7 linked regions of the Nothobranchius furzeri genome follow. The protein of the gene in region 2 purifies or fractionates together with the protein of the main gene of each other region. This does not show direct contact. Links are inferred from orthologs where the notes say so. Each region holds a gene or a part of one and is shown on either strand. Other genes may lie near its edges. The genes, in order: usp39, eftud2, dnajc17, hnrnpub, sart1, ecd and aar2.

Evidence for each region.
Region 1: the proteins of eftud2 (region 2) and usp39 purify together in Homo sapiens (affinity purification with mass spectrometry; 4 studies listed by BioGRID and IntAct, with this or other methods). This does not show direct contact. The link is inferred for Nothobranchius furzeri from reciprocal best matches to the Homo sapiens genes EFTUD2 and USP39.
Region 3: the proteins of eftud2 (region 2) and dnajc17 purify together in Homo sapiens (affinity purification with mass spectrometry; 4 studies listed by BioGRID and IntAct, with this or other methods). This does not show direct contact. The link is inferred for Nothobranchius furzeri from reciprocal best matches to the Homo sapiens genes EFTUD2 and DNAJC17.
Region 4: the proteins of eftud2 (region 2) and hnrnpub fractionate together in Homo sapiens (co-fractionation; 3 studies listed by BioGRID, with this or other methods). This does not show direct contact. The link is inferred for Nothobranchius furzeri from reciprocal best matches to the Homo sapiens genes EFTUD2 and HNRNPU.
Region 5: the proteins of eftud2 (region 2) and sart1 purify together in Homo sapiens (affinity purification with mass spectrometry; 4 studies listed by BioGRID and IntAct, with this or other methods). This does not show direct contact. The link is inferred for Nothobranchius furzeri from reciprocal best matches to the Homo sapiens genes EFTUD2 and SART1.
Region 6: the proteins of eftud2 (region 2) and ecd purify together in Homo sapiens (affinity purification with mass spectrometry; 5 studies listed by BioGRID and IntAct, with this or other methods). This does not show direct contact. The link is inferred for Nothobranchius furzeri from reciprocal best matches to the Homo sapiens genes EFTUD2 and ECD.
Region 7: the proteins of eftud2 (region 2) and aar2 purify together in Homo sapiens (affinity purification with mass spectrometry; 5 studies listed by BioGRID and IntAct, counting the BioPlex papers as one, with this or other methods). This does not show direct contact. The link is inferred for Nothobranchius furzeri from reciprocal best matches to the Homo sapiens genes EFTUD2 and AAR2.

The regions. Positions count from the first base shown.
Region 1 is NC_091757.1:46,431,441-46,434,234, reverse strand, and holds the end of usp39 (ubiquitin carboxyl-terminal hydrolase 39), read left to right. Parts: coding exon 1-125; intron 126-276; coding exon 277-419; intron 420-868; coding exon 869-1,004; intron 1,005-1,377; coding exon 1,378-1,464; intron 1,465-2,043; coding exon 2,044-2,094; 3' UTR 2,095-2,294; downstream 2,295-2,794.
Region 2 is NC_091745.1:13,626,204-13,629,703, reverse strand, and holds part of eftud2 (116 kDa U5 small nuclear ribonucleoprotein component), read left to right. Parts: coding exon 1-80; intron 81-193; coding exon 194-312; intron 313-439; coding exon 440-534; intron 535-619; coding exon 620-773; intron 774-3,500. UniProt on the Homo sapiens protein: Required for pre-mRNA splicing as component of the spliceosome, including pre-catalytic, catalytic and post-catalytic spliceosomal complexes. Component of the U5 snRNP and the U4/U6-U5 tri-snRNP complex, a building block of the spliceosome.
Region 3 is NC_091758.1:33,993,561-33,997,852, reverse strand, and holds the start of dnajc17 (dnaJ homolog subfamily C member 17), read right to left. Parts: upstream 2,801-4,292; 5' UTR 2,467-2,800; coding exon 2,386-2,466; intron 1-2,385. UniProt on the Homo sapiens protein: May negatively affect PAX8-induced thyroglobulin/TG transcription.
Region 4 is NC_091742.1:29,998,752-30,002,778, forward strand, and holds the start of hnrnpub (heterogeneous nuclear ribonucleoprotein Ub), read right to left. Parts: upstream 2,801-4,027; 5' UTR 2,662-2,800; coding exon 2,235-2,661; intron 397-2,234; coding exon 282-396; intron 1-281. UniProt on the Homo sapiens protein: DNA- and RNA-binding protein involved in several cellular processes such as nuclear chromatin organization, telomere-length regulation, transcription, mRNA alternative splicing and stability, Xist-mediated transcriptional silencing and mitotic cell progression.
Region 5 is NC_091744.1:19,554,503-19,558,702, forward strand, and holds the start of sart1 (U4/U6.U5 tri-snRNP-associated protein 1), read left to right. Parts: upstream 1-1,400; 5' UTR 1,401-1,729; coding exon 1,730-4,042; 3' UTR 4,043-4,200. UniProt on the Homo sapiens protein: Plays a role in mRNA splicing as a component of the U4/U6-U5 tri-snRNP, one of the building blocks of the spliceosome. May also bind to DNA.
Region 6 is NC_091752.1:30,506,690-30,510,671, forward strand, and holds the start of ecd (protein ecdysoneless homolog), read left to right. Parts: upstream 1-1,182; 5' UTR 1,183-1,331; intron 1,332-1,429; 5' UTR 1,430-1,434; coding exon 1,435-1,639; intron 1,640-1,912; coding exon 1,913-2,030; intron 2,031-2,115; coding exon 2,116-2,203; intron 2,204-2,333; coding exon 2,334-2,512; intron 2,513-2,706; coding exon 2,707-2,899; intron 2,900-2,988; coding exon 2,989-3,117; intron 3,118-3,228; coding exon 3,229-3,354; intron 3,355-3,462; coding exon 3,463-3,548; intron 3,549-3,820; coding exon 3,821-3,924; intron 3,925-3,982. Other genes in the region: protein FAM149B1, read right to left, coding at 457-503. UniProt on the Homo sapiens protein: Regulator of p53/TP53 stability and function. Inhibits MDM2-mediated degradation of p53/TP53 possibly by cooperating in part with TXNIP. May be involved transcriptional regulation. In vitro has intrinsic transactivation activity enhanced by EP300.
Region 7 is NC_091755.1:59,903,686-59,907,757, forward strand, and holds aar2 (protein AAR2 homolog), read left to right. Parts: upstream 1-1,470; 5' UTR 1,471-1,667; coding exon 1,668-2,433; intron 2,434-2,523; coding exon 2,524-2,753; intron 2,754-3,183; coding exon 3,184-3,351; 3' UTR 3,352-3,572; downstream 3,573-4,072. UniProt on the Homo sapiens protein: Component of the U5 snRNP complex that is required for spliceosome assembly and for pre-mRNA splicing.

The sequences.
Region 1 (2,794 bases), on a different chromosome or scaffold from region 2:
CCTTCCTGTTTCTGACCCTTGACCTCCCAACAGCTCCTCTGTACAAGGATGAGAAGGAACAACTTATCATCCCACAGGTCCCTCTATTTAACATCCTGGGCAAGTTCAGTGGCACCACAGAAAAGGTACTAACCCCTTTACTGACTGATGCTGAATTAATAACATAAAGGAAGACCAGCCTGTAAATTCTTCAACTCAAGTATTGAAGTGCATTAATGTTATTCAACAGGAAATAAAATGGAACTAATGCACATGTGCATGTGATGCTGTTTGCAGGAATACAAAACCTACAAAGAGAATTTCCTCAAAAGATTCCAGTTGACCAAACTGCCACCGTACCTCATCTTTTGCATCAAAAGATTCACCAAGAACAATTTCTTTGTGGAAAAAAATCCAACAATTGTCAATTTCCCGATCACGTAAGTTGTTTTTGTTTACTCAGACTAGGGCAGTAAATCGAACACTTATCGTTATCGAAATTTCTAACTCTAACCGATATCATTGTTTCCATGTCAGTAAATTTGGTAATAAAGATGGAAAGATGTGTGTAGGTTGGAGACAATCAAGTCCTTTTAAGAAGCTGAACCACCTTGAATCACATGACAACATGACTCAAAGTAATACACGTAACAGCCCCATCTAGTGGACAACTTCTGGTTTTGTGCATACATGTAGTTATGGTCCATTTATAGTTATCAAGGCTAACTTCTCAATGTGCCGTGATATGGATTTTAGGCCACATCGCCCATCCCTAACTCAGACTTTTGCTTAAACACATTTATAAAGTTCAGCTTACATCTGCTGTTTATTATTTTAGGCTAAACTACACGTTTAAATGTATTTTGAACTTTGCTGTTTGCTTCAACAGGAACGTGGACCTTTCTGAGTATCTGACAGAAGAAGCTCAAGCTACAGAGAAGAATACGACTTATGACCTTGTTGCAAATGTGGTGCATGATGGGAAACCCACAGAGGGATCATACAGGATACATGTCCTGCATCATGTAAGCTACAGCTGACCAGTTTTTCATGTGCACTGGGATCAACGTAGCATCTGTGTCCTGTTCTCTGAGTCACAGTAGATTTCAGAATGATAAATGACCCGCACTTGTATAGCGCCTCTCAGATTAAGGACTCCAAAGCTCTTTACAGTGTATCATTCATCCATTCACACACACATTCACACACTGATGGTGATGAGCTACGATTTAGCCACAGCTGCCCTGGGGCGCACTGACCGAGGCGAGGCTGCCACAGGGCCACAAAGTAATGAAAGAATGTGGCCTGAGTTTCTGATGAGTTTTCTGTCTGTAACAAAAGCTTTCAGTTGTGTTTTAGTGATCTACGGCAGAATAACTGAATGCTTTGTTTGACCAGGGGACAGGGAAGTGGTACGAGATGCAGGACCTGCAGGTCATCGACATTCTTCCCCAGATGATCACGCTGTCAGAGGCTTACATCCAAGTAAGTCTACCCTATAAGTCTTAGTATTTACCTGCGAGTTCGAAGAATTTACTTTTTTCCTTTAATGAAAACATTTGACTACAATCTGAAGAATCTGCTGTTTGTTTACTTCCTGAATTTAATTAGTTAAAGGCTTAACAAAGTATTGGGATTTTCAAAACAAAAGCCTCATTGTTGGCTCTAAATTCTAAATGTATGGCATCAGACAGTTGTTTTAACTAACTATAGTTTTGTTTTTTACAAAGGAAAACAACACAAATCTTCTCTTTCTCAGCTTTGCTTAAAGGTTTTGTCAAATTCTGAGAAAAGAGCATAATGGAAATAATTGACAATGACATTGTAGACTGAGTGCAATCATCACAAACTTTACACAGAATATAATTAAAATAAAATAAAGCTTCAAACCACATAACTGACTATCCAACCTGTTACTGAGGAAAAATAATCTAGTTATTGATTAAAACCATCTACTCAGTTGCTTCTAGTGTGTACGTACTTCCTAAAAAGCTGTTATTTGGTATTATAATTTAAAAAGGATTTTCTTAGTGTTTTTTTTAATTGTTGCCCTTTTCTTGCCAGATTTGGAAGAGACAGGAGAGCAGTGACACAAACAGCCACACGGCGGAGTAAGTGCTGCAATGTATTTCCCATCCTGGGTGGCGTTTCGTTTCATCACAACTCTGGAAATCAACTCAAATCTTTAAATGATCTGAAGTGCAACAGAACTTTGTTTAAAGCGACACAAAGCCTTGAAATGCAGAAGTTCTTTTTTTGTGGTTTTATCTTTTCACCTTGTGGAGTTTTCTAAATAAACCACCTTGAGGACAAAAGTCTTTGTAAATGAAAGCTTAACAACACAACCTTTAAATTAGGTTTTATTTGTATTTGATCTTCTTCACCAGCTGCCGGAAGAGCAGCAGCACAATCAGAGAGGAAGCATCACTAAAGCCGGGCATACACTGTGCGACTTTTTCACTTTTTTGAGCCAATTTTCCACTCGTGTGAGAATCCACAAGATCGGGGCGAGTTTTGCGCCGAGCATCGTGTAGTGTACGGGGGGTTACGAGAGGCGATTAACACCATGTGACCAGCTACCGATCAGCAATCGTGAGCTCGCACGGACTTCTGGCGTGTTTAATATTTTGCTCGTCCCTCGTGAGGGTATCGCACTGTTGAAGCGGCGCTGCGAGCAGCTGCGACACAAAATGGATCAGAACCGCTCACGGCGCATGTGCAATCCTGCATCAATGCCGCTCGCCCGCTATTTCCCTAATAACACACGTACGTTTTTGTTTCTACACGTTTTTTTTACTCACAAATATTGTCAAGA
Region 2 (3,500 bases):
GGCGCTGCTGGGGTCTGTTAAAGACAGCATCGTTCAGGGCTTCCAGTGGGGCACCAGGGAGGGGCCTCTTTGTGACGAACGTAAGAACCACGCTGAGTTTAGCTGTTGGATGTCAGAATGCTTGTTGATATGGACATACGTAGCTTAATAAATATAAAATGACAGAGTCTTGTGTTTTTTCCTCGCTCTTCAGCCATTAGAAATGTGAAGTTTAAGATCTTGGATGCTGTGATCGCTCAGGAGCCTCTCCACAGAGGAGGAGGTCAGGTTATCCCTACGGCCAGGAGGGTTGTTTACTCTGCTTTCCTCATGGTGAGGCTTGGTTTGATCCATACCTTCTAAATGCTTGCTAGCTTTGATTGAATCATAAATGTGTTCATTAGAACATCGTAATGCTTCTCCGGGTTTTAGTGCTTTAGAGTCTGCTTTGTTCTCCCAGGCCACGCCGAGGCTGATGGAGCCGTATTATTTCGTAGAGGTCCAGGCTCCGGCTGATTGTGTGTCAGCGGTCTACACGGTGCTGGCTCGGAGGAGGTTTGTCTCACGAGGCAAAAACAACAATTCTGACAATTATTTGTTAAAGTTTTAAAAAACTTCTCGTGTGTTTTCCGTCTGTCAGAGGTCACGTCACCCAGGATGCACCTATTCCCGGCTCTCCACTCTACACAATCAAAGCTTTTATCCCAGCCATCGACTCTTTTGGCTTTGAGACTGACCTTCGTACGCACACTCAGGGTCAGGCCTTTGCTCTGTCTGTCTTCCACCACTGGCAGGTGAGATTAAACACGCAACCTGCTTTCTGCGTGTTATCGCTCTGAATTTGATTTCATCAGATTTAGCTGCGATTAAAATTCAAATAGCAGCAGAAATGTGTGGCCTACCAATAAAGTGTGCACCTGAGTGTGACAGTCACTTTGCACCATGAAAAAAATCAATCAATAAATACTTTATTAATCCCAGAGGGAAATTAGAGCGGTAAACAATGTTTTGATCTCTCTGCTGTTGAACTCGTGCGTTTGTGGCAGCTCGTGCTGCGTCGTGGTCGACCTCATGCATGTCTGCCACTCTGGGCAAACTGCTTCTGATCCAAAGGACGGTGGAGTGTTGAGTCATTACTTTTAAAGCGTTATGAGGCTGTTTGTGTCTGCCTGACGTGTGTTTGTGTCTGCACTCTGTTGAGCTGTGTCAGTGAAAATGAACTCCACTTAGGCTAGATTAATATTTCAGCTTAGTGTCTTTAAGCCACGAGCTACGGAAAATATTCCCACGGCACAAATTTAAAGTGATATCGTCTTAACCGTTTTATCCCCTTGAGGTGAAAATAAATGCATCTAACTAGACATTTTAATTATTCACTATATGAATGCTAATCATATGGAGTCGACCAAAATTAATACAACTCTTGACACCTTTGGTTGGTTTGTGTTCAGATACTTTCTACCTGGACTGCACGATATTGGGAAAACCTGCGATATTCGATAATGGTGATTGATATTGCAATGACGATATTACTTGCTATAAATAAAAACTTAACTCGGGAACAAAAATAAAGCAAAGAAATAAAATAAATCATAAAAATGAGAAATGCAAAAGATGTGAGGAAAGGGAAAAGAAAATGATCAAGAAAAGCAGAATCAGCAGAACAAAGCTAACTCAGGTGTTTGCTAACCATTAAAATTAAGTTCCGTCCACCTCGGGGGCGGGAATCTAACCTATGAGAACCCACCCGATTGGCTAAATGGGTGAAGAGCTCTATTTGATTTGTTAAACATCATTCTTCCGTTTGACTGACAGAAGCTTGATGTGAAGCAAACATTTGAGCTGACCATTCATTGCGATATTTTGGTTCTTTGCGATACGCATATTGCTCATGCTGATATCGCGATAACGATATATTTACGATATATTGTGCAGTCCTACTTTCTACAGAATCTTTTTCAAGCTTTTACCAATTCAATACATTTTTAATACATCAGCTTTTCACTACTGGAATATTCCCAGACATAGTTTTATGTAAGCAGCGATATTTAGTTTTTGTTGCTGTGGGGGCCGATTGTTAAGTAATATTGTCAGAATTGCTGGATTTGATCACGTTTAGATTTGGATAATATTAAAATTAAACCAGATAGAAAAATATAAAGATGCTAATCTAAACAAGCAAAGTTAAACGTAAATATTTAAACTGAAAACTAAATGTGTGGAGCTGAATATAAATGTTAAAATATAAAATGTGGTTATCGTATTTGGGTAACGTGCAAATTTAGACTCGCGTGGATGGAAAGTGGCCGACCAAAGAAAAAAAATTCTCTATATTATGGATCATTGTTCCCGTCATGGTTCTGCCGGCGCTTTGGTAAATGAGCCACGGTTGAACTGACGGACAACGTTTTACTGTCGAGGAAGCTTTAGAGACCTTAGACGGGGGTCTCTTCACCCCGCCTTTCGATTGGCCACTTCTATTTTACATCAGTCTGAGTTAGCACGTTAGCTCAATATTTCATAGTTTTTAAGAAAGCTAACTTACCGGAATATCTAAACTTTAACATTAGTGTGGCAAGGTGGACAAACGAGGGCCCAGGCGGGATTTGATCCCCCAGACTCCCGGGTGAGAGTCATACGCTCTAACCAGTCAGCCAAAGGGACATCCCCTTGGCCAAGTAGCCAGGGCGCATGATCTATCGGGACATTGTGACAGGACACTCACACTGTCACATCAGCATTGTAACTTTAAAAATCGACATTTCTACTTGATGTCTGTTTATTTTAGGAGTTCTGTTTGGAGTTGTGTTTAAACGTTTTCAAATAACTTTGTAATTTCCTAAATGAATGCGACGCAAACGTGAGTTCAGGATTCCCACCCCATTTTAATAAGATTTATTTAGTATTTCTTTGCGATTACTTTTACACTTAGTGCCTCATCAATCACCGTTATCATCCGTAACTGTAATTACTGTCCCAACACGACGGATTCAGCTGCTCAGGGTATCCAGAATAGCTCAGAGGTTGGTGTAGTGCACCATTTGGCCACATTTCCTTAATAGTTAGATTTAAATACTCAATGTTATTATGTAATTAGTAGCTCTCACGCTTTGGTTGATTTGGCTGGACCTACTTCACGTACACGCCCACCACCCTGCTAGCAGGTCTCATCTTTCATCTGCGGCTAAATGCAGAACGGGACGATTAATATATGACGCGTTTTGTGAAGGTCATCCTGCAAACTGCCTGGGGTAATGGCTTTAGTGGATCGTTTTAAAGCTCAACCTGCCGACGTTGCATTGTTGCTGTGTTGGTCACATTTGATGGTGTGACGGTGCTTTCACATTTGCACATCTCTCCATCACGCTGATGAACGTTCTGCTGACTCCGTACCAACAGGACAGGCGTTCAGCTGAATCTCATAAAATGAAAATATCCACTCGGCTGGTTGAAAAGTTTCATGTGTTATATGAGAACAAATGTGGTTTCTGTTTGCATCACCTATCTGATCCCCCTTTAAG
Region 3 (4,292 bases), on a different chromosome or scaffold from region 2:
TCCGCAACAGAAACCAACTTTCCACATCTATTCTCTCAACCTAAACCAGCCTCACAGAACGTGGGATCACCTTTTTTCAAGTCTGCGGAGCAACTGCACATTTTTGCTGGAATTACAAGATTTGATGTTATCTTAACAGCTGACTGAGTTGATTTTACGGAGGGGAAAATCTAAATACACATTCAGATAACTAAAATTACTAAGATCCGTTAAGATGCTGCCTTTAAAGCATTTTAAATAAATCTCCATGACAGTTCAGGCTTTGTTCCCGCTGCACAAGAGCAACAGTTATACGACTTCCATGAACCTCCATGAACCATGACGGGATAACCATCTCAGACCGCTCTTAAACATCGTAAACACTTTATCTTAATTGCATTACTTTGTTTTAAATTACAGCTAAACAAGGCAGGGCTAAAAGATTGTGAATTGCAATAATTCTGGTGTAAATTTCTATTTCATCTCAGTTCACGATTTCTTTCCAACCAAGATTCAGCACAATATGCACAATGTACAGTAGTGTAAACATGCCAGGAAACAACATCATACAAACAAGGCATTAAAAGCTATCTAATACAGTTACAGCAGAGCTTCCCACCAGTGAGGCTGATAAGTTGCCTGATCTCTGCACATCCTCCACCATTATCAGCAGAATAAAGAAAATATGAAGACAGGAGTCGAGGACAGCAGCAAGGAGAGGGATGAATGACAAAAATATAAGAGAAAAGATGAAAACAAATGAAAGGAGGAATAGAAAATGTGTTATTATATAAATAGTGAAATGCTGCAAAAAGGGTTATTAGTTATTAAAAGGCCTTTAACATAGACCTGTCTGTCAGTTTTGATATTTGAATCTAACGTAGATCTGTCGATAAAGTTGTTTCAAATTGAAAGACGGCCTCACTGGTGGATGAAACAATCTTAGTATCGCGGCTCAAACCAAAAACGATCATCAGATATTGAGAACTGTGTGTTTGCACTAAGCTACAACTCTGTATTTGTGAACGTTGTCTGAAGAAACCAGCGTGTTTTTACTGAAAACAGCCACACTAGTAATAGCTGAATAAACCAAGTGAGAGCTTGTGTGGTCTTAGACAGCATTTCACCGAGCAATCTGTGGTAGGTACAACTCCGATGGCAATCCACTTTCAGTCGTTAACTCAAAATCTCTGACACGCCTGAATTCCTATCAAGAACAGCATTAGTGATAATAGAAAAGCTCCAGAGGACATACACAGAAGCAAAAGTCCCTACACCAAAGCTGTAAAACACTGCATTTACGTAGAAGTTGATGTGACTGAACCCACATTAACTGGCCATGGGATGAGTTTCCTCCTTTTCTCAGTGATTAACAGCATGTTTGAAGATGTGAACCAAACAAATGGGATAATTTGACCATCTGATGATATTTCTCACAGATTTGATTGATTTCTTTTCTTAAGCCCTGCTGATTTAATGTAAGGCACAAAGAGACAAATCCACTATCTCTCTCAGCCATCAGCAGACCTTTCAGCAGCAGCCCTCTCAGTTCTGGTGCTTCAGCTCAGCCCAAGCCACAACCGCCGACTTCCTCAGGGATAACCCTCTTGGGAGGAGAACACTTTGAAATCTAATTAAGAAATTAACTTCCTCCCTTGTTTTGGCAGGGATTTTAATATCCCTTCAGGCCAGTGGATTTTTGATAGAGAGGTGGTCGGAGGAAAAAGGCAGGATTCAGAACAACATGATTAACCGCTTAAGGCTGGGAGTAAAAAAAAGAGAGGGAATGAAGAAGGGTGGTTTGCAATGACCTGAGAATCAGAAGTGAAATTTGACTTCTGCTATTTTTGCAGATGAGGGTCATCTTTAGAAAATACTCATCTGCTCCTCCAAGCTTAAATAAGATAAATCAAAATAAGACTAAGCGTGTTGATTTATATACATCTGTGCTGTTTAACATTCACTGTTTTTAAACGTCATGGGGACGTTTGAGTCGCACACAAGGAGCTCACTGGTGCAACATCGCCATCTCGTGTCCATTCTGTGGTACTACAACAATGCGAATTTTAGCCTTTAGCTAGTTTGTCTGTTTTGTGTCCTTTGTTTCTATCATATCGATTCTTACCCATCAGGTATTGGACCTATATGCATCACGTTTGCTCTGAGTGATAACACGCACCATGTTTACGGTAAATTATAAGCACAGACGGAAAGAAAATGGGAATACAAGCAGTATGCTAACATACTGCTAGCATTCTGCTAAAAACAAAAAGCCTTTATATTAAACAGCCTTTTTCCTCGCCCACTGAATAAAAAATAGAATAAACATTTTCCAACAGTGTCTAACGATCTGCTAACAGCCAGAGGCAAAGCTGGTATTTGTTTATTTATCATTCACTTACGTACCTCTTTAGATGTAGCAGTATTTTCAATACCGAGTAAACCATAGAGGTCCATCTGTAAGATTTCCTTAGCTTTCCCAGACATTTTGTTAAACACAAACTACTTTAACATCAAAGATAAAAGGAGGGGATAGATACGGTTGTTTACAGTGTTTAACAGCGGGCAGCGTTAGGGTTATTTGTGTTTGCTGCAGCTTATTTGGGGCAGCACGAGTTTGTTTGACGTTTACAACCTTTCAACCCGGAAGTGCTATGCTTGCTGGGAAATGTGGTTGTTCGCTGTATCTCTGTGTCTGGCTTTTTGTTGCTTTGATAATTGATTATCTCGGTTTGTTGGTTTGAGTCTCTAACTTTTAAATAAAACCATACAGCTATAATTTTAATGTTATTTTCTCAAAAATATATACACAGGTGTTTTGTGTTCATTAGGCAAAACTAAATTGTTTTAGGTTAGATTTAGTGGTTTATCAGACTGACATTTATGAAATAATTACTTTTTTTAATAATTTGGGGCTCATCATTCTATAGTCAGTAGGATTATTCAAAAGAGGAAATTTCATAAAGACGTTACATCTTTGCTACAACAGTTCAATAGACTGAACAGGTTGTTTGTAAGTGATGGAAATTATGCATCACTTTTTATCAACTGTAAACCACCCCTGTGGTTTATGGTTGGTTTAAAGCAGCAGGGCCTGCATACCTTAGAGTCAACCAAATGCCTTCCAGAGTAAAACCATCTGTCAAACAGAGGAGGTTTGGTCCTAATTGTGTCACACAAGAAAACAATAATCCCAGCAGTAAATCTGCAGTAGAATGACGGCACAAGCAAAGAGCAAAGATGCATTTCATCATTAATGTTCTTTTGGCAGCACACTCAACCAGTGTTTGTAATTAGCTGTTTTATTTACCAAAACATAGAAAACCTTTTTATCAACACATAGATCAATCCATTTAAAAGTGTCAATTTTAAATGTTTACATCCTTCTTGATTTGATGATCATAAAAGGTAAAAATCTGAACAGCAAAGACTTTTTCTCAAAATAAAGAAGTAATAAAGGCATTGGTAAATATTTTTGTAAGTTTGTGAATGTTTGATGGTTTACATTGATAATTGCTGTTTTGCAATAAAGAAATGAAATGTTGGTTTTACTACAAGTTACTGGCAAAATTCAACAAAATTGAACCTCATTCAATTATTTCAGTAATTTCATTTAAAGGTGAAACTAATACATGAGGTAGACTCGTTACATGCAAGTCCAGATATTTTAAGTCTTCATTTGTTATAATTTGGATTACAGCCCAAAATTCAAAATCTCAGACAGAATGTTGTGAAAAGGTTCACGCTCTAGGTGTCACACTTTTATCAGCTAATGAATCCAGAACACCTGCAAAGGGTTCCTGGGCCTTTAGATGGTCTCTCGGTCTAAACTGGATTACTGAAATAAATGAACTTTTTTGCACCATATTCTAGTTTTTGCTGATCTGCATCTCAAAAAGTTGGTGTTTTGTCTGGAAAAAGCTTTTATTTTCTAAAGTTTTGTTTTTTATTCTTGGTCTTCTGGTTTTTCCAGGATTTCTCCAATAAGCACAATAAAGGGAAGTTTAGTGAATCCTCTAACTTACCCAAAGAAGGTTTTGCAGATGCATCCAGAGGTTGAGGGCCAGTTTATGTCCATAAATATTTTGGCCGTGCACTTTCACAGCATTAAAAGGGCACTAAACAAAGATGTTGACTTTGATGATTACGTGATTATAGCTGCTGTGTTTCATGATCCTGTTCTTCAAGCTCAGTTAGTGTTTATAATGAGTTCATAATATTTACTCAGTGGTCTGTTTAAATATGGCGTTCTCATGAGTGAGCATTATTTTCTCTGGAAAAGCCTGGAGCTGTGGCATGCTCAAGTGTTTTTG
Region 4 (4,027 bases), on a different chromosome or scaffold from region 2:
GAACAGATATGAGATTGATAGATGCACTTCTGCTACAGAATGCAGTCGTTAAAGACACAATGTGAGTGTAAAAAGGTAAATGGTAAGGCTTTAGCTATTCAGGGATGACCCTCAAACACATGTGTGAAAGGTTATATCATAAATATATGATAGAATACTTCAAACGAGGCTTTACCTCTTGCTAGTTATGTGCATTGGCACTTAAAGCCAATACAGTTCAACAAAGCTTGGATGGCGCTTCAGGGATGCTGAAGGCCACCTCGGCTCTGTCCCATCCTTACCAGCTGTATTTGTTCTCTTCAATAAATTCAAAGTAGCCCCTTCCATGTTCCTCCCGGCGTCTCTTAACACCCTTCTTATTCTTCTGATCAGCATTCGTGTCTTTGTCCGCATCTCCTTTGAAAATAGAACAAAGATATAGAATGAGGTGCTCCTTTTTGAGAGAGAGAGAGGTCGGACTGGCAGTGGGGTTCTGGCCCACGAAGCCCGTTCATTATTTACATTGCGTCTAGCATGATTACCAAGAGGAAACACCTCATAGTTACATTTAAAACAGTACAATCATATTACATGACTTGTAACAACTGGTAAGACCAGGTAGTAATTACAGCATGAACTGGCCCAAATGAACAGCAGCAGCAGAGCTTGATGGGGCTGGAAAAGGGGTCGTGAAAGGGTAAGAACCCTTCAGATACAAGTCCTCTAGTCCTAGATGAGGGTCTACTGCATCAGGGGGAGTTAACCATGCAGGGAAACCTACCTAAAGCCCAATGACACCCCCCGCTAAAGAAAAGGATGATATGTAAATAAAAATGTATGTATACCCTTTAATATCACGCTTGTATTTCAAATCGAAAACACACGATGGACGTATCAGGAAAGTTGTAGGCCACTCCGTTCTTCTGCAAAGCGCTGGGTTAGCAAGTTCAGAGGTTCCCAAGCTCATAACCCAAACTAACACCCAAATACAGCTTCAGGTCTTTTACATCAGCCTGCTGAGGCTCTTCCTTCAAACATCTGCACCTCATAACCAGACCTGATGCTAGTGTTGGCTTTTGATCCGGCTAAACACGATTCTGGACTTCACTCGTCTACACTAGATAGAATCTTTAATAATTTAATCAATCACATACAGTCCAAGACTGGGACAATTTAGTTCTTATGGGCAACTCAAAGTGGTCCAGCCCAAAAACACGCAGACATCTGGACTAACAGTTTGAAGCTGACATGCACTGACCTGCGGAAGGAAACCATGGAAACCCACACATGCACGCGGAGAACAAGCTAACTCCATGCAGAAAGGCTGGAGCTGGGATGTGAACCTTGCTAAAAGCTAAAAGTGCTACCAAATGGAGTTTGTGAAACCGTTAATCATTCAGTAAGACTAAAGTGTTATTGATAACGGGACCACATCAGAACCAGTCATATGAAGCAAGGTGACAGACTCTGGTGCCTTGCTGATCTCTGGACCAGATCAGAAGCGGTCCTTGTAGAAAACTTCATCAGTAATGTGTGCCACTCCTAGTTGATCAGAGGTAGAAAATGTAACGCATGGGGGATTTAGACCACGTTTGGACCCACTCATTAAAAAAATCTAAAAACTAAAATTGTCTTCAGTAATTTGTGTTTTTGCGACTGGAGCACGTAAGAACTGATCCTGTTCTGAAAACAGAACACGTTTTAGTTTTTATATGTATTAAAGAATTACTTTAGCCCCCTCCCGCCTCGTCTACGTGCTGTAGTTCTGAACTAGAGCTGATCAAACGTAGTCCAGATGAAGCCTTGGCGAGAGGAAAACCGACTAAAGCGTGATGGGAACCTCTGAAATGGCTAACACGGCTAGCTAGCGCAGACCGATACAAAGGAAAAACGATGCTAACTAGCGTGCTACTATCAAGCGACACAAGAGAAAAATAACAAATTAATTTCTTAAGAATTATTTATAAGCATGTTCCTTAGTTAGTCCGTGTCAATTAACCTACTATCCGTTGGTAAACTGGGTTAGAGAATCGTACATTTAAATTATTGTAACCAAGGCGTTGGCTAATGCTAACTAGCCTGAATCACGCTGACTGACTCAACATGGACGCCATGATAAGCGGTAACAACCGGCTACCCCTCCCTTACGGAAAAGCATTCAAATCTACGCTACAGTTCCCACCTCCCCCCACAAAATGACACCCAGCCACGGTTCATCCAACAAATCATTTTCATAGCGTATTGTTTCTTCTCACCCTCAGTAGCGTGATCGCCGGGCTCACCATCTTCTGTGTCAATTTTCTCCATGTCGTCTACATCCTCCTTTAGCATGGGATCCATCTCGTCCTCCTCGTCACCTTCCTCTTCCCCCTCACCCATCTCCTCGTCCACCGACACACCGTTCCCGTCGCCGTCATTCGCCGGCTCTTCTCCCTCGTTGGCCTCCATGCTCTCCTCTACCGGGCCTTCTTCTTCCTCCCCCATACCCTCCTGGATGTCCGCGGCCTGCTCGTCCGTCGCCACATCCTGAGCGGCCGAGTCTCCAGCGAGGGCCTCCTCGTCCAGCGCGGCCTGCAAGCGGTCCATCAGATCGGCCTTCAGCCCCTTGTCTGATAGGTTTCGTTTCTTGAGCTCGTCTTTTAGCTCGTTTACTTTAAGCTTCTTCACGTTAATCGTGCTCATTGTGGACGTTTAACGACAAACTACTAAAATACGTCGACAAATAAACAATAACGTGCACTTTGTTAGTAGATGTTGCTCGAAACGACGCCAAACGTTACGCGCGATCCAACCTTTCACCAACGGAGAGGGAGCTGATGAGCCAGCCTCGGCGGCGGGAGGGGGAGCAGAGCGCTAACCACTACCGTAATGATCCTAAAAGCAGCACAGTCGAGCCAGAGCCACCACGGTATTAAAACTGGAACAAGAACAGGGCAGTGCAGAGATGAGAGACGGGTGCCCCAAGTTTAAACGGGGCACCTAAAACAAGACTGTCAAACCCCTTACATCATTTACAGATGACCAGGTAGACTAATAACAACTCATTATCAATAATCTATCTAATCACACCATCTGCTTCAAGCTGTGTTTTGTTGCCTCTACCTTTATTGCGCCTGTTGCTTGAACAAAGGGCAAAACATTCAGGCTCTAGATGTGGAAAGCTGGTAGGGACATAACCCAAAGAGACACCCCCCAAAGCCATTCAGCTGTAATTGCAGCAAAAGATGAGTCCACAAAGTATTTATGCAGGGGGCTGAATACAAATGCACAACACACTTTCATATTTTTATTTGCTTAAAATTTTTGAAAACCATGTTTCATTTCACACTTATGTGCTTTTTTATGTTGATCTAGCAAAGAAAATATCAATAAAAATATTGAAGTTTGTGGTCAAAATATGTAGAAGTTCAGAGGGTATGAATACCTTTGCAAGGCACCACGTATGTATGTATGTATGTATGTATGTATGTATGTATGTATGTATGTATGTATGTATGTATGTATGTACGTACGTACGTACGTATGTATGTATGTATGTATGTATGTATGTATGTATGTATGTACGCATGTATGTATGTATGTATGTATGTATGTACGTATGTATGTATGTACGCATGTATGTTTGTATGTATGTATGTACGTATGTATGTATGTATGTATGTATGTATGTATGTACGCACGTACGTATGTATGTTTGTATGTATGTATGTACGTATGTATGTATGTATGTTTGTATGTATGTATGTATGTACGCATGTATGTATGTATGTATGTACGTATGTATGTATGTACGCATGTATGTTTGTATGTATGTATGTACGTATGTATGTATGTACGCATGTATGTATGTATGTATGTATGTATGTATGTATGTATGTATGTATGTATGTATGTATGTATGTATGTATGTATGTATGTATGTATGCATGTATGTATGCATGCATGCATGCATGTATGTATGTATGTATGTATGTATGTATGTATGCATGTATGTATGTATGTACGCATGTATGTATGTATGCATGTATGTATGTATGTATGTATGTAT
Region 5 (4,200 bases), on a different chromosome or scaffold from region 2:
TACAAGCAAGCCGATTTGTCATTTATTACTTGGGCTCAATCCATCGTGGGGGGTTTCGTGCTAAAAGACATTTCAGCCATCCAGGTAACAATTTCTTCTATTCTTTCTTATCCTGGCATGATCTGACGATTCTTACTGAGGGAAACACGCAATTCACGTATCTATTATCCTAGGTGACATATTCAAAGGTTTTTTTAATACACAAAATAAAGAATAGTGGTAAACTCGTGTATAGATCTATTGAGAAACTCGCAACAAATGCAATTACAAATATTTTGAAAGATAATTAAAATATCTATTAAGAACTTGATGAAATAGCATTTGATTCAAACTTTATTTATTGAAATACAGCAAGGCAACAGCACTACCACTGTGCCAACATGCAGCCAAAGCATAACAGATTCAAGTAAAATTTAAAATGTAGTATGTATAAAAATGAGTGAAATTAACATGTGAACTGATATGATATCCATAATGTTACACCTACTCCTACCCTAGGATCCACCCATCCCTTCCTCTATTCCACTGCATCTCTTTGTGCACTTCCATCTATGTTGCACTCTGATTCATTTCTACACTATTTTCGCATACTCCTCTGTCGGAGCCTAGTGTTCTTTCCTCTAATCAGTTTATCGTTAGAATCAGATGCAAGTACTGTTACATCCTTGTTTATAGATCGTTTTGGACAAAAGCATCTGCCAAATACATTAGCACAATGCCCTTTTTGATATCTGGAGCTCAATACAGATAAATGCAAAAGCTGAAGTAGAAAAATGTAATTTGAAAAAATCCTTAATGCTGTTGTTGGTAGACAGAAACCATTGCTAGACATCTGACTTTTTCTCTTTGTCTGAGAAGAATTAATTTTGATGTATATCTGAAAGTGATAAACATCCCAGCCATTAAATGTTCAAATGACCGTTTGGAATCAAAAGCATTTTTAAATACTCTAAACCTGGGGGTTTCCAATTGAAATATCAATTACAGTATTAAAATGTGTTTTTACTGATCAGAATGCACTTCTAGATATTATTTCAGTTACGATAAGTAAGAAATACATTTTGATAATGGGAATTATTATAACTTTATCTAAAATTTTAAGTGAATGGAAATGTTTTGCTTCATTAAATGCTATCACGGCTTGCTAAATACAGCAGGTTGCAGGCTGCAACCTTTGCTAAGCTAACAAGCTAAAGTAAAGGAACTGCGCCAAAATAGAGGAGATAGTAAATCGCTGTGTTGCACTTCGTGTACTTTTTGTAAAGTATCAAACAATTTTCCTAAAACATTTAAAAGCGTTTGTTTGTCAGTTAATGTCCGGTTGTTAAAGCCCCAGCCAGCAGGGGGCGATATACAACCAGGGCGAGCAAAGTTTTTTCTACCACTTGACTTCCGGAAACGAATTCGTTGTCGTTGTATGTTCGTTTCGTCGAAGTAGCAAACTTAAAACGTGGTTGTTAGTATTTATGCTGGTGCGAGGTGCTACAAATAAACAAACCAACGAAACTCCACGTATTTTCCACCGATGCTGGATATCGAAAATATGATGCAGTTTTCCCCGAAATGAGTGAGTTTTGACGTGGCTAACCCTTTAGCTTTTGAAGCTAACTCGACCTAGTTGGGAGAAAAGTTCGCGACATTTACCACATCAATACAGCTGAAGAGACTGCGTACGCAGCTTGACTGTGACGGAACTACGACTCTGGAGTTGTAAACAGCGGACGAAATCATGGGTTCTTCAAAGAAACACAAGGAAAAGAGTCGCGATAAGGACGCAGAAGAGCGCCGTCGTGAACATAAGAAGCATCGGCACAAAGAACGAGAGAGAGACAGAGATGCCTCAGATCGGGATGGAACTCGAGAAAAACGAAAACGCTCCAGGTCCAGGGAAAGGAGCAGACGGGATAGTCGCAGCAAAGGGGAAAAAAGCAGTGGCGAGACTCGTATAAAGAGGGAGAAATTGGATCCTGGCTATGAGGAAGGCAGTGCAGAAATACAGCCTCAGAGTGCAAGTGGAGATGCTTCCCTCAGCGTCGAGGAAACGAACAAACTCCGAGCCAAGCTGGGTTTAAAGCCTCTGGAACTCAATGAGAACAAGAAAGAACTTGGAACCAAAGAGGAGCCACTGGTGGCTGAGACCATCAACCCTGTTCTCATCCAGCAGCAGAAAGAGATGAGGGAGAAGCTTGCAGCTATGAAAGAAAAACGTCTCCTCAATCAGAAACTGGGCAAAGTCAAAAACCTTGCAGATGATGATTGGCTCGATGACACAGCCGCTTGGATTGAAAGAAGCAGAAAGCTGGCACAAGAGAAAGAAATGGCAGAGAAAAGAGCCAAACTTCTGGAAGAGATGGATGAGGAGTTTGGTGTCAGCAATCTGGTTGAAGAGGAGTTTGCTCAAAGTAAATTGGATTCTTATTCTTCACGGGATCTCAAAGGCCTCAAAGTGCAGCACAAGGTTGATTCCTTCAAGGAGGGCCACACTGTCATTCTGACCCTGCAAGACAAAGGTGTCCTGGAAGAAGAGGAGGATGTGCTTGTGAACGTGGGACTGGTGGACAAGGAAAAAGCAGAAAAGAATGTGGAGTTGAAAAAGAAAAAGCCTGACTACAAGCCCTACGAAGAAGAGGAGAGTGTGGATGACATGGTCACCTTTAAGCCCCGCACTGTACTTTCAAAATACGATGAAGAAATTGAAGGTGAAAAGAAAAAGAGCTTTCGTTTGAGCACATGGGGATTTGCTGATGGGGAGCGAGAACGGGAGCTGCAGGCTATGAAAGAAACGCTGCAAAACCAGGCCCAGTCTTTGGAAATGCCTGCTCTTGCTATCGCTTCGGAGTATTACACGCCTCAGGAAATGGTTGGCTTTAAAAAGACAAAACGCCGTGTGAAGAAAATCAGGAAGAAGGAGAAGCAGACAATTGCAGATGAGCTCCTTGATGACACTCGCAGCTCTGACTTTGGCTCCCGAGCACGAGGTCGGGGCCGCAAACAGGACAACGAAGAGGAGAATACAGGCAAGGGCGAGCGTTGGCCACATGAAATCCCCCAAATGTCTGATGACATCAGGACGGCAGAAATGGAAATGAGTGATGAAGAAAACTTCACGCCTCCTGAGCCAGCTGTAATTGAGGAGGATGAGGCAGAGCAGGAGCTGCAGAAACAACTGGAGAAACAGAGGAAGCTGAGGCAGAAGCAGCTTCTCAAAGACTCCGGGGAGAAGGTGGCAGAGCAGATCAGACGGTTTGTTAAAGGCGGTGACGAAAATGATCCTGACAAGAGGAATAACATTGTCTTCAATGCCACCTCTGAGTTCTGCAGAACTCTGGGTGATATTCCAACGTATGGACTGTCTGGAAACAGGGAAGACCAGGAGGATATCATGGACTTTGAACAGGAAGAAGAGAAAGATGATGCTGGAGATTCAGACTCCGAAATGGATGAAAATATTGGGTGGAGCACAGTTAACCTGGATGAGGAGCAAAATCATGCTGAATTTTCCACAGCCTCTGCCACTATCCTGGATGAGGAACCCATCGTGAACTCTGGCCTTGCTGCTGCTTTACTGCTGTGCAAAAATAAAGGGCTGCTGGACACGCAAATGCAAAAGGTGGCTCGTGTCAAAGCAACAAAGGGGTCCCTGCCTAATGACAACTACTGCATCGAGGACAAGATGGGCTTTGATGATAAGTACAGTCGCCGGGAAGAATACAGAGGCTTCACGCAGGATTTCAAGGAAAAGGATGGATATAAACCCGACGTCAAAATTGAGTATGTGGATGAGTCTGGGCGCAGACTCACCCCAAAAGAGGCATTCAGGCAGCTTTCGCATCGTTTCCACGGCAAAGGTTCTGGAAAGATGAAAACTGAAAGGAGGATGAAAAAGCTGGAGGAGGAAGCGCTGCTGAAGAAGATGAGCAGCAGCGATACACCTCTGGGGACGGTGGCTTTGCTTCAAGAGAAACAGAAATCTCAGAAAACGCCGTACATCGTCCTCAGTGGCAGTGGGAAGAGCATGAATGCAAACACCATCACTAAATAAATATGTAGGGGAAAATGATTATTGTTGTAGCTCTTTTGAGATTATTGCTAGTTTATGGTCTTGCTTCAGTGTTGATATAACAATAGTATAAGAAAATCAGTACAGGTGTAAACTATTTCATTTGTCTTGTGAATTTCCTAAAAGAACAATAATTTAAA
Region 6 (3,982 bases), on a different chromosome or scaffold from region 2:
TTTCTCACAGTTTTATAAAAAGGAGCCAATGATCCATTGAATTCCTTTGCATCAGTCATGGATCTAAGGTCAAGGTAGTGAACAGAATTAAGTTTCTAGGAATCAATACTACACACGCAGCCACGGTCCTTAAGCATTATAAATAAATAAAAAACAGCCCGGAAATGACTGTGCAGACATCTAACAGTGGTAATACAATGGGCAATCAAACCCAGCTAAAACACAATTAAATGTTACAATGGGTCATTATTATGGTAAATACTAATCTTCTGTAAGCCCAAGAAATTTTTCTGAAGAAAAACAACTGACATAGTAAACTATATAGATTGAATATTGTGTGACTCAAGCAGCTAAAAGTCAGATCAGCTCAGTAGTAACTCGCTGGAACACCACACACACACAAACAACATATGTAGATTTAAGCCGCAGGGGGCTGAAGCAACATTTGGTACTCACATCTCAAGTTTGTGCGATACAGGTTTTCTGTTGTATCGTGAAATCATTCTCCTTTCTCTCCGTTTTATGGGCTCAAGCCCTCGACTCCCATCCTTGCCTCTGCTTCTTGGACTCTATGTGAGAAGCAGACGAGCCTCACCATCCTCGATCGGTAGTCCGCAAGACAAAAGACACGCTCTTTTTATCTGTTGAGGGGAGGAGGCTACGCTAAAAAGAGCTGAGAGGCGTTGATGCGACCGTGACATGCAAACAGGGCACAGGTGGTGTTATAAAACTTCCGCAAATATGTTAACCATTAAGTTAGACTGTCTACACTAGGTACTAATCACGTTTGTCCGGAAGTTATGTAGCGATCAGGCTAATAGCTTAGCATTAATGTGTGTATACATGCTAGCATTAGCACCGACGAAAACAACAGCGCGGCTGTCATGGATACGCAGCCTCTTAACCGCGCGGGTTCGCGGGAAATGTATTTCTGAAGAACGTGTAACGCGTTCTTCACAAATCTGTTTTCCTACATTTCCCAGACATCTCTCCGGCGATGTGGTTACGTCTCTGAAATGTTTCCGTTCGTAATAATAAGAAATCATTCAGCGTATGATTTATCAGTTAATTTACTAAGTTAAAATTATTTATCAATAATAATTAAGTAATTAATATACGGTACAAAGGTTAATTTTTAAGTGAGATATTTTATAACGTACATACATTTGAAACCGGAACTTCATCGAAAGAAATGTGAGTGTCGACTACAAATTGTGGACGGACCTAAACAGTCACTGATGGCGTGCTAGCAACGTCAGAAAATACCAAATTTCTTCAGTTCTGGTTTGCAGAGATTTAAAATTAAAAGGACCTTTTACATGCACGACAAGGTACATTTAACTGACATATTTACGTCTTGGTGAGACTAGCTCTCCCCAGACATCTCCTTTATTCAGTAAATTAATCATTTTTTCTTTTCTTTTATCAGCTACAATGGATGCTCTGCAGAAAAGGATGATTCAAGAAGATACGGTTCAGTACAAACTATTCTTGGTCCAGTCAAATGGTTTATCTTCTCAGCAGACTGAAGAACGCCTAAAATGCTTGACAGAGGAGATTTTGGCTAAATTAGCTCCACTTTTGGTACAGTATATCTGGCAACATCAGCCATTCAGCCTCAGATTTCATTCAGAGAAAGGTAAGATTTAATCAGCTGCACTTAGATGATGACCTATCAGGGTGTGCTAAAACAAAGTGTATGGTAATCTATCTGACGGGTCAACTGGCTCATCAAAGTGTCATACATCTTTTAAAATGTATGATCTGATAGCGTATGCATGTCTGAAAAGCCTTGTGTTGTCAGATAGGCATACACTGTAATACGCACTTGCCAATCTGTCAATGTATGGTGATTAGACAGAACACCTGTTTATAACGCAATGTAACCATCAAATCTCACGTGTCCTGATAGGAAATATTCCTGCTCACATTGGAGGCAGCAGTCAGTTTGGAGACAACGTTGAGGACGAGTGGTTTATTGTTTACCTCTTGAAGCAGATCACAGAAGTTTTTCCAGAGCTTGCAGCCAGGTGAGACACTATAGGGTCTCAGTGTTACTGTTGCAACAGAAATGTGTTCTTGCTGCATACAACTCTATGCTGTTTGTGTGTGCAGGGTTGAGGACAACGATGGGGAGTTTATTCTGATCGAAGCTGCTGATTACCTTCCAAAGTGGTTGAACCCAGACACGAGTGAAAACAGGGTTAGCCCTTCTGATGAAATGGGACATAATATTGTGTGATTCGTTATAGCTGGATATTGGTTGAGAATTCATGTGAAAGACACTTTAAAATGCAAATTTTCCATTTGACTTTGGCTGCATTTCTTTACAGGTTTTTCTTTACAAGGGAGAGCTGCACATCCTTCCTTGCCCCTCCAAACTAAGTCCAGTGGGCTTCCCAGTTGATGTTGTTCCCAGTGTGGCAGAAGCCATAGAACTACTCTCCACTCATCCAGACTCCTGTCAGGCCAGCCCTAAGATATGCTCAGCTCTGAACAAGAGAATAAAAGGGTGAGAGGGTTTGAAAGAACACCACTGCTCTTTGGTATCTAATAGCTATTAGCCTCGTAAATGTTGTTGACACAATCTCTGCATTCCTTCTGTGCAGGAAACACATTATACCATAGCAACACGGGGAACATCAGCATGGCTCATACAAGCCCTGTAAAGTTTTAGAAAAAACATTATCTCTGTTTTTCATCTAGGTATCCAGAGAAGATCCAGAGTAACCTCCACCGGGCTCACTGCTTCATACCTGCAGGGGTAGCCACTGTTCTGGCGCAGCGTCCAGACCTGGTTGCTCCTGCGGTTTCAGCGTTTTATCTGCGGGATCCGGTGGATCTACAGGCCTGTCGAAGCTTCAAGACTTTTCCTCCTGATACGAGAATCCTCACTTTGGTGAGTGCACAAAAACACTCGTGAGTGCATAACTTTTTTGTGAAATGTTGCCTTTAATTGAAACCTGGAACTTGATATTTATTCTTTAGGTGACGTTCACCCGCTGCCTTTATGCACAGCTGCAGCAGCAAGATTTTATCCCAGATCGGAGGAGCGGATTTAGCCTGCCTCCTCGCTCTCATCCTCAGTACAAGGCTTATGAGTTGGGCATGAAACTGGTGAAGCATATTTTGTTTGTTTGTTCTTTTGCTGTTTTTGCAACAAAATATATGGATAACTTGTGTTTGGAGTCTTGTAGGATGTTTTTTAACTGTGCATCCTTCTCTCAGGCCCATGGCTTTGAGATCCTGTGCTCTAAATGCAGACTGCCGTCCTCGGAGCCAAACGCGCCAGTAAGCTGCAACCCCCAGTGGAAAGGCTTCTTGGAGAGCCTGAAAAAGAACGACTACTTCCAGGTGTGGTGCACTATTTTGTATTTAAATTAAAAGCAGACACTTGGAAGAGCAGCATGCTCAGCGATTCGCTACCATACAGTGATTCAGTGCCATTGCTGTCTAACGCAGGGAGAGCTGGAGGGTTCGGTACGTTTTAAAGAACGCTTAAGATCAGCAGAAATTTTCTTCAAGTACTCCGTTGTCTCAAAGTCAAGGTGAGAAGCTATCTTGTGTATGAAAATGTGTTAATCAAATGAAGTATGTTTTGCACAGGCATACTCTAGGCTGGCCACTCAAATGTGCAGTTTGATCTCAGCACACATGTGGCCCACCTGAGTTTTTAGCTCAGGTAGGTGGTGCCTGATAAAGTAACGTTCAAAACTGGGCTCTTTGTTTCCTAACAGAATGTTGCATCATGCAGTAGAGACCATAGCTACCTTTCATATGCCAGCGCAGCGGTGTGAACGTGCTTGATGTGTGTTTTCAGTCCTCTGTCCCCTGGGGAGGAAGTTGTTGAGGTGCTTCACAGCAGTCCTCCGTTCGACTTGGAGGAATTGAAAAAACAGCAGTCACAGCTTCCCCAAGAGGACAGTGAGTAGAAACGATAAACGATGGAAAGTCATTCTTAAGACGAGCAGATTTTTTTGCT
Region 7 (4,072 bases), on a different chromosome or scaffold from region 2:
TTCTTGCTCAACTGTTCGGAAAATACAAGGAAAGAAGAGGAAGAGGAAATTATTCATCAACATAATCAAATTACTGATTACTTGTTGGCAAAAACTTCAGAGCAGCTACAAATCTAAGTAGGGTCTGGTGTGACTGGTAACTTCTCACAAAAACACCAGTTTAAGTATATTCACAGCACCGTGATATGACCCTTTTTGCAAAGATAGCTGATAATAAACATGAATGTTAAGTTCTCATTAGTGTTCTTGCTCTTTCTGCATTTGTTAGCATTGCTCCTTGTTATGTTGTTATAGTTTCATTGTAACCACAAATAAGCTAAATGCAAATATTCAGCATTATGCACATTTCAAAGTCTCATGTGATGTGTTTGTGAGTCAAACGTAAATGTGTCTCTGTGTGTTATCCTGTGAATTCAATGTCAGATTTTCTTCATAAAAATATTAAGAAAACAACAAAAATAATTTATATTATTCTCTTCTTAATGTTAGTTAGTATTTAGAGAGTCCCACCTTTGATAATTCCAAAAGGCCATTGCAAATTATTTTTTTAATAATTCAAAGGAACTGGTGCTTTTAAAAGAGAAGAGGAGATGGGACATTAATGCCCTCTGGTGGCACAGAGATGAACTACAGTCTAGTTCAATTAAAAAAAACTTTTTTGCATTATCATTATCATCATCATCATCATCATTATTATTATTATTATTATTATTATTATTATGAAAAACATCCCATTTTTGTCTTATTGGGGATGATGGAGGACTAGAAAGAGCAATCACAAAAATTTAATTAGCGCAAACACTTCCTGTAAATTATTACAAAACATGACATGTCTGAGTTAACAAGAGAGGAACTCGCAGCCTCTAGCTGTCTTTTTTATTAAGCTAAAAACCCAATTGAAATATTTTCGACATTTCCAAATCAGTCTTGTTCACAATCACTCCTTCCAATGGGTATTGCATAGAACAGTCCAACATAAATATTGACAATAATAATAAGTAAAACATTTTATAATGAAATTTTGCCAGAATATAATCTTACTAATTTAAAGGGCAATGTAAAATAAATGTACTGCAATGGAAAATGTTAATCCTGAGTACATAAAATAAATAGTTTTTAAACAGTCTTATAAATTTATTTTAGCGAGTTTTGCTCATTGTTGGGCTTTTTACATAGCAAAAGCGATTACAGCATCAATTCTGCCACTGCGAAAAAAATCTGCTTTAAAATCTTTTTATTGCTTCATTTTCCCAAACCTAAATTTCTAAAAAGATATATTAAGAAAAACTTGGAGGCCAAGTTGTGCAAAAGAGCGGAACTGTTCTAATGAGACACTGTTTCCACCCTGAGCATTTATTTTGTTACACAGATTTCCGGCAAACGAAATAGCAGCGTTGTTGTTTGGAACGTCCACTAGTGTAACTGTAGGTACAGTTTGTTTTTATAAGTGGACGCGTAGACCGTAAAATGGGGTTTTTCGAAATGTAATTAGTTTTTTTTACTTTATTGATAATCTTCGCTGCTTAAATAAGATACTTTAAAACCCTAAAATTAGCATTCGCGTTCAAATACGGAAACACTTGAATGATGAACAGCTCACGTAGCACCTGAGAGAATTTACGCATGTTTCTCAGTAAATATAGTTTGTAGATTAGTAGTAAACAAAGATGGCCAGCAGCAGCTCTTCGAACATGGATCCAGATGTTGCTTGGTCGTTATTTGAAGAAGGAGCTACTTTGGTTCTGCTGGGTGTTCCTCAGGGCACCGAGCTTGGGATTGACTGCAAAAGCTGGCAGGTTGGTCCTCGGTTTCGTGGTGTTAAGATGATCCCCCCTGGTTTACACTTCCTCCATTACTGCTCTGTAAACTCGCCAAGCTGTGGTGGAGAAATCGGTCCTAAAACGGGTCTTTTCCTCACCCTGAAACCAAGAGAAATTCTCCTGGCCAACTGGGATCCCAAAGAAGAAGATCTGGATTTCTCAGCCTCCAGGAATGAAGAGGAAGTGAACAGGATCCGGGGGACTTTGCGGGAGCTGGATCCCTTCTTGGGCCCTTATCCCTATGAGGTCATGAGGAAGTGGGTGTCTCTCACCGATCACATCAGCGAGAAGCTGGCCAGTGACTTACAGCCTCTGACGGGTCGAATCTGCGCCTTCAGTGATGTCGTCCCCGAGCTTCAGTTCAGACACACAAAAGACAGGGCAGAGCAGCCGAGGAACGACACGGCCTGCCAGAGCATGAAAGAGGGACTGGACAGGCTTCCCAAAATGAAGCACAGAGAAGGGACTGAACTGCGCTTTTCAGTTATTCCCAAAAAGACCTACCCTCCTGGGGCTACTCCAGCTGAGATCACGAAATGCAGCATGGACTTGAGCTATGCCCTGGAGGGGGTTCTGGAGAAGAAATACGAGAACCAGCCTCTAAACTTGCTTGGTTTGTGTCACAAAGATTAATGCACTGTTACAAGAATGCAACTGCCTAATGCCTATGCAACTAAATATCTGAATCTCAAATCTCTTCCAGGTGAGCTGCAGTTTGCTTTTGTGTGTTTCTTGATTGGGAATGTGTACGAGGGCTTTGAGCACTGGAAGAGCCTCCTGGCTCTGCTGTGCCGCTCGGAGGAGGCCATGAGGAGGAGGAAGGAGCTCTATCTGGGACTCATCACTGTGCTCTACCACCAGCTCGGAGAAGTCCCTCCTGACTTCTTTGTTGACATTGTGTCACAGAACAACTTCCTCACCAGCACGCTGCAGGTACAGCAGATGTGCAACAGCTGCACGCACAATGTTAGGGAAATATTCAAAATGTTTCTGAATCAGAAAAGAGCTGTCACTAGAGGCACAAACATCATGTTTTTATTTCTTGTGACCCTAAATTGTTTATAAATGTAACAAACAACTTGTACATTTCAGACCGGATATCCATCATTTTCCAGCATTTCCAGCCTTCATTTAAAACTATAAAAGGTAGCAGGGGACATGAATCCTTTCAACGAGGTCTTTAAGTAATATTTTCATTTAAAATCTGTCTTCAATTTTTTTTTCTTCTTTCAAAATGATTTTTAAGCAGCTACAAGATGGAAAATCTACTAGAGCAAGAATTAGGGTCCCATATTTTGTTTCTATTTGATCTCAAACTGGTGTTCTTCATTGGGGATTATTAAATCGACTTTTTATCTTGCAGGATTTTTTCCAGTTTGCCACTGGACCTGGTGTGGATGGGATCCTACAAAAGAAGGCAGAGAAGTTCAAAACCCACCTAACCAAGAAGTTTCGTTGGGATTTCGATGCAGATTTGGACGACTGTGCACCTGTAGTGGTGGAGCTGCCTGAAGGCGTCACAGTGGACTAATTCTCCCATCGTGCAGTTTCTCCTCTTGGCCTCATACCGGTTCTACAGCAGCACACTGCCACGGTTGTTCTGTGTGGTTCCAACATGTCTTCTATTGTTTGTCTTTTCATAAGGAGAAGATAATATGTTCACGAATCATCTGTAGTGATGTAGTCAGAGAGAGGAGAGGTTTGATCTGAGGTCTGGTGGTTTTTATATTAAATAAAGTCAGTAACAATTTATTTTGTTTTATTTGTATAGTTGTTTCAAAAGAACATTTACATTCTACCACATTATTGGAAAGTTTTGAACAGTAGTTCATGAATCTATGAACAAATCTAAACATGCAAGACATCATATGCGTAACATTTGTTTCAAAATAAAGCACTATTGTCCAACAGGAAAGTGGGAACATATTTATATAAAGCAACCATGTGGTCAGGTTGCCCCTGAACGTCTCCCTAGTGAGGGGCTTTCCAGACACATCCAACCTGGAGAAGACCCAGGACACGCTGGAGGGACTGCGTCAGCTGGCCAGGCACTGCCTTAGGGTTCCCTTAGAGTAGCTGGCCCAAGTGGCTGGGGAGAAGGAAGTCTGGGCCTCGGCTTAGGCTGACCTGACCCGTGACCTGACTCTGGATAAGCGGCTGCAAATGGATGGATGAATGTCAGCCTCTTTTAATTATCATGAATGTTTAACATGTCCACTAGGGGGAACTGGAGGACTGGTTTTCACTATGAG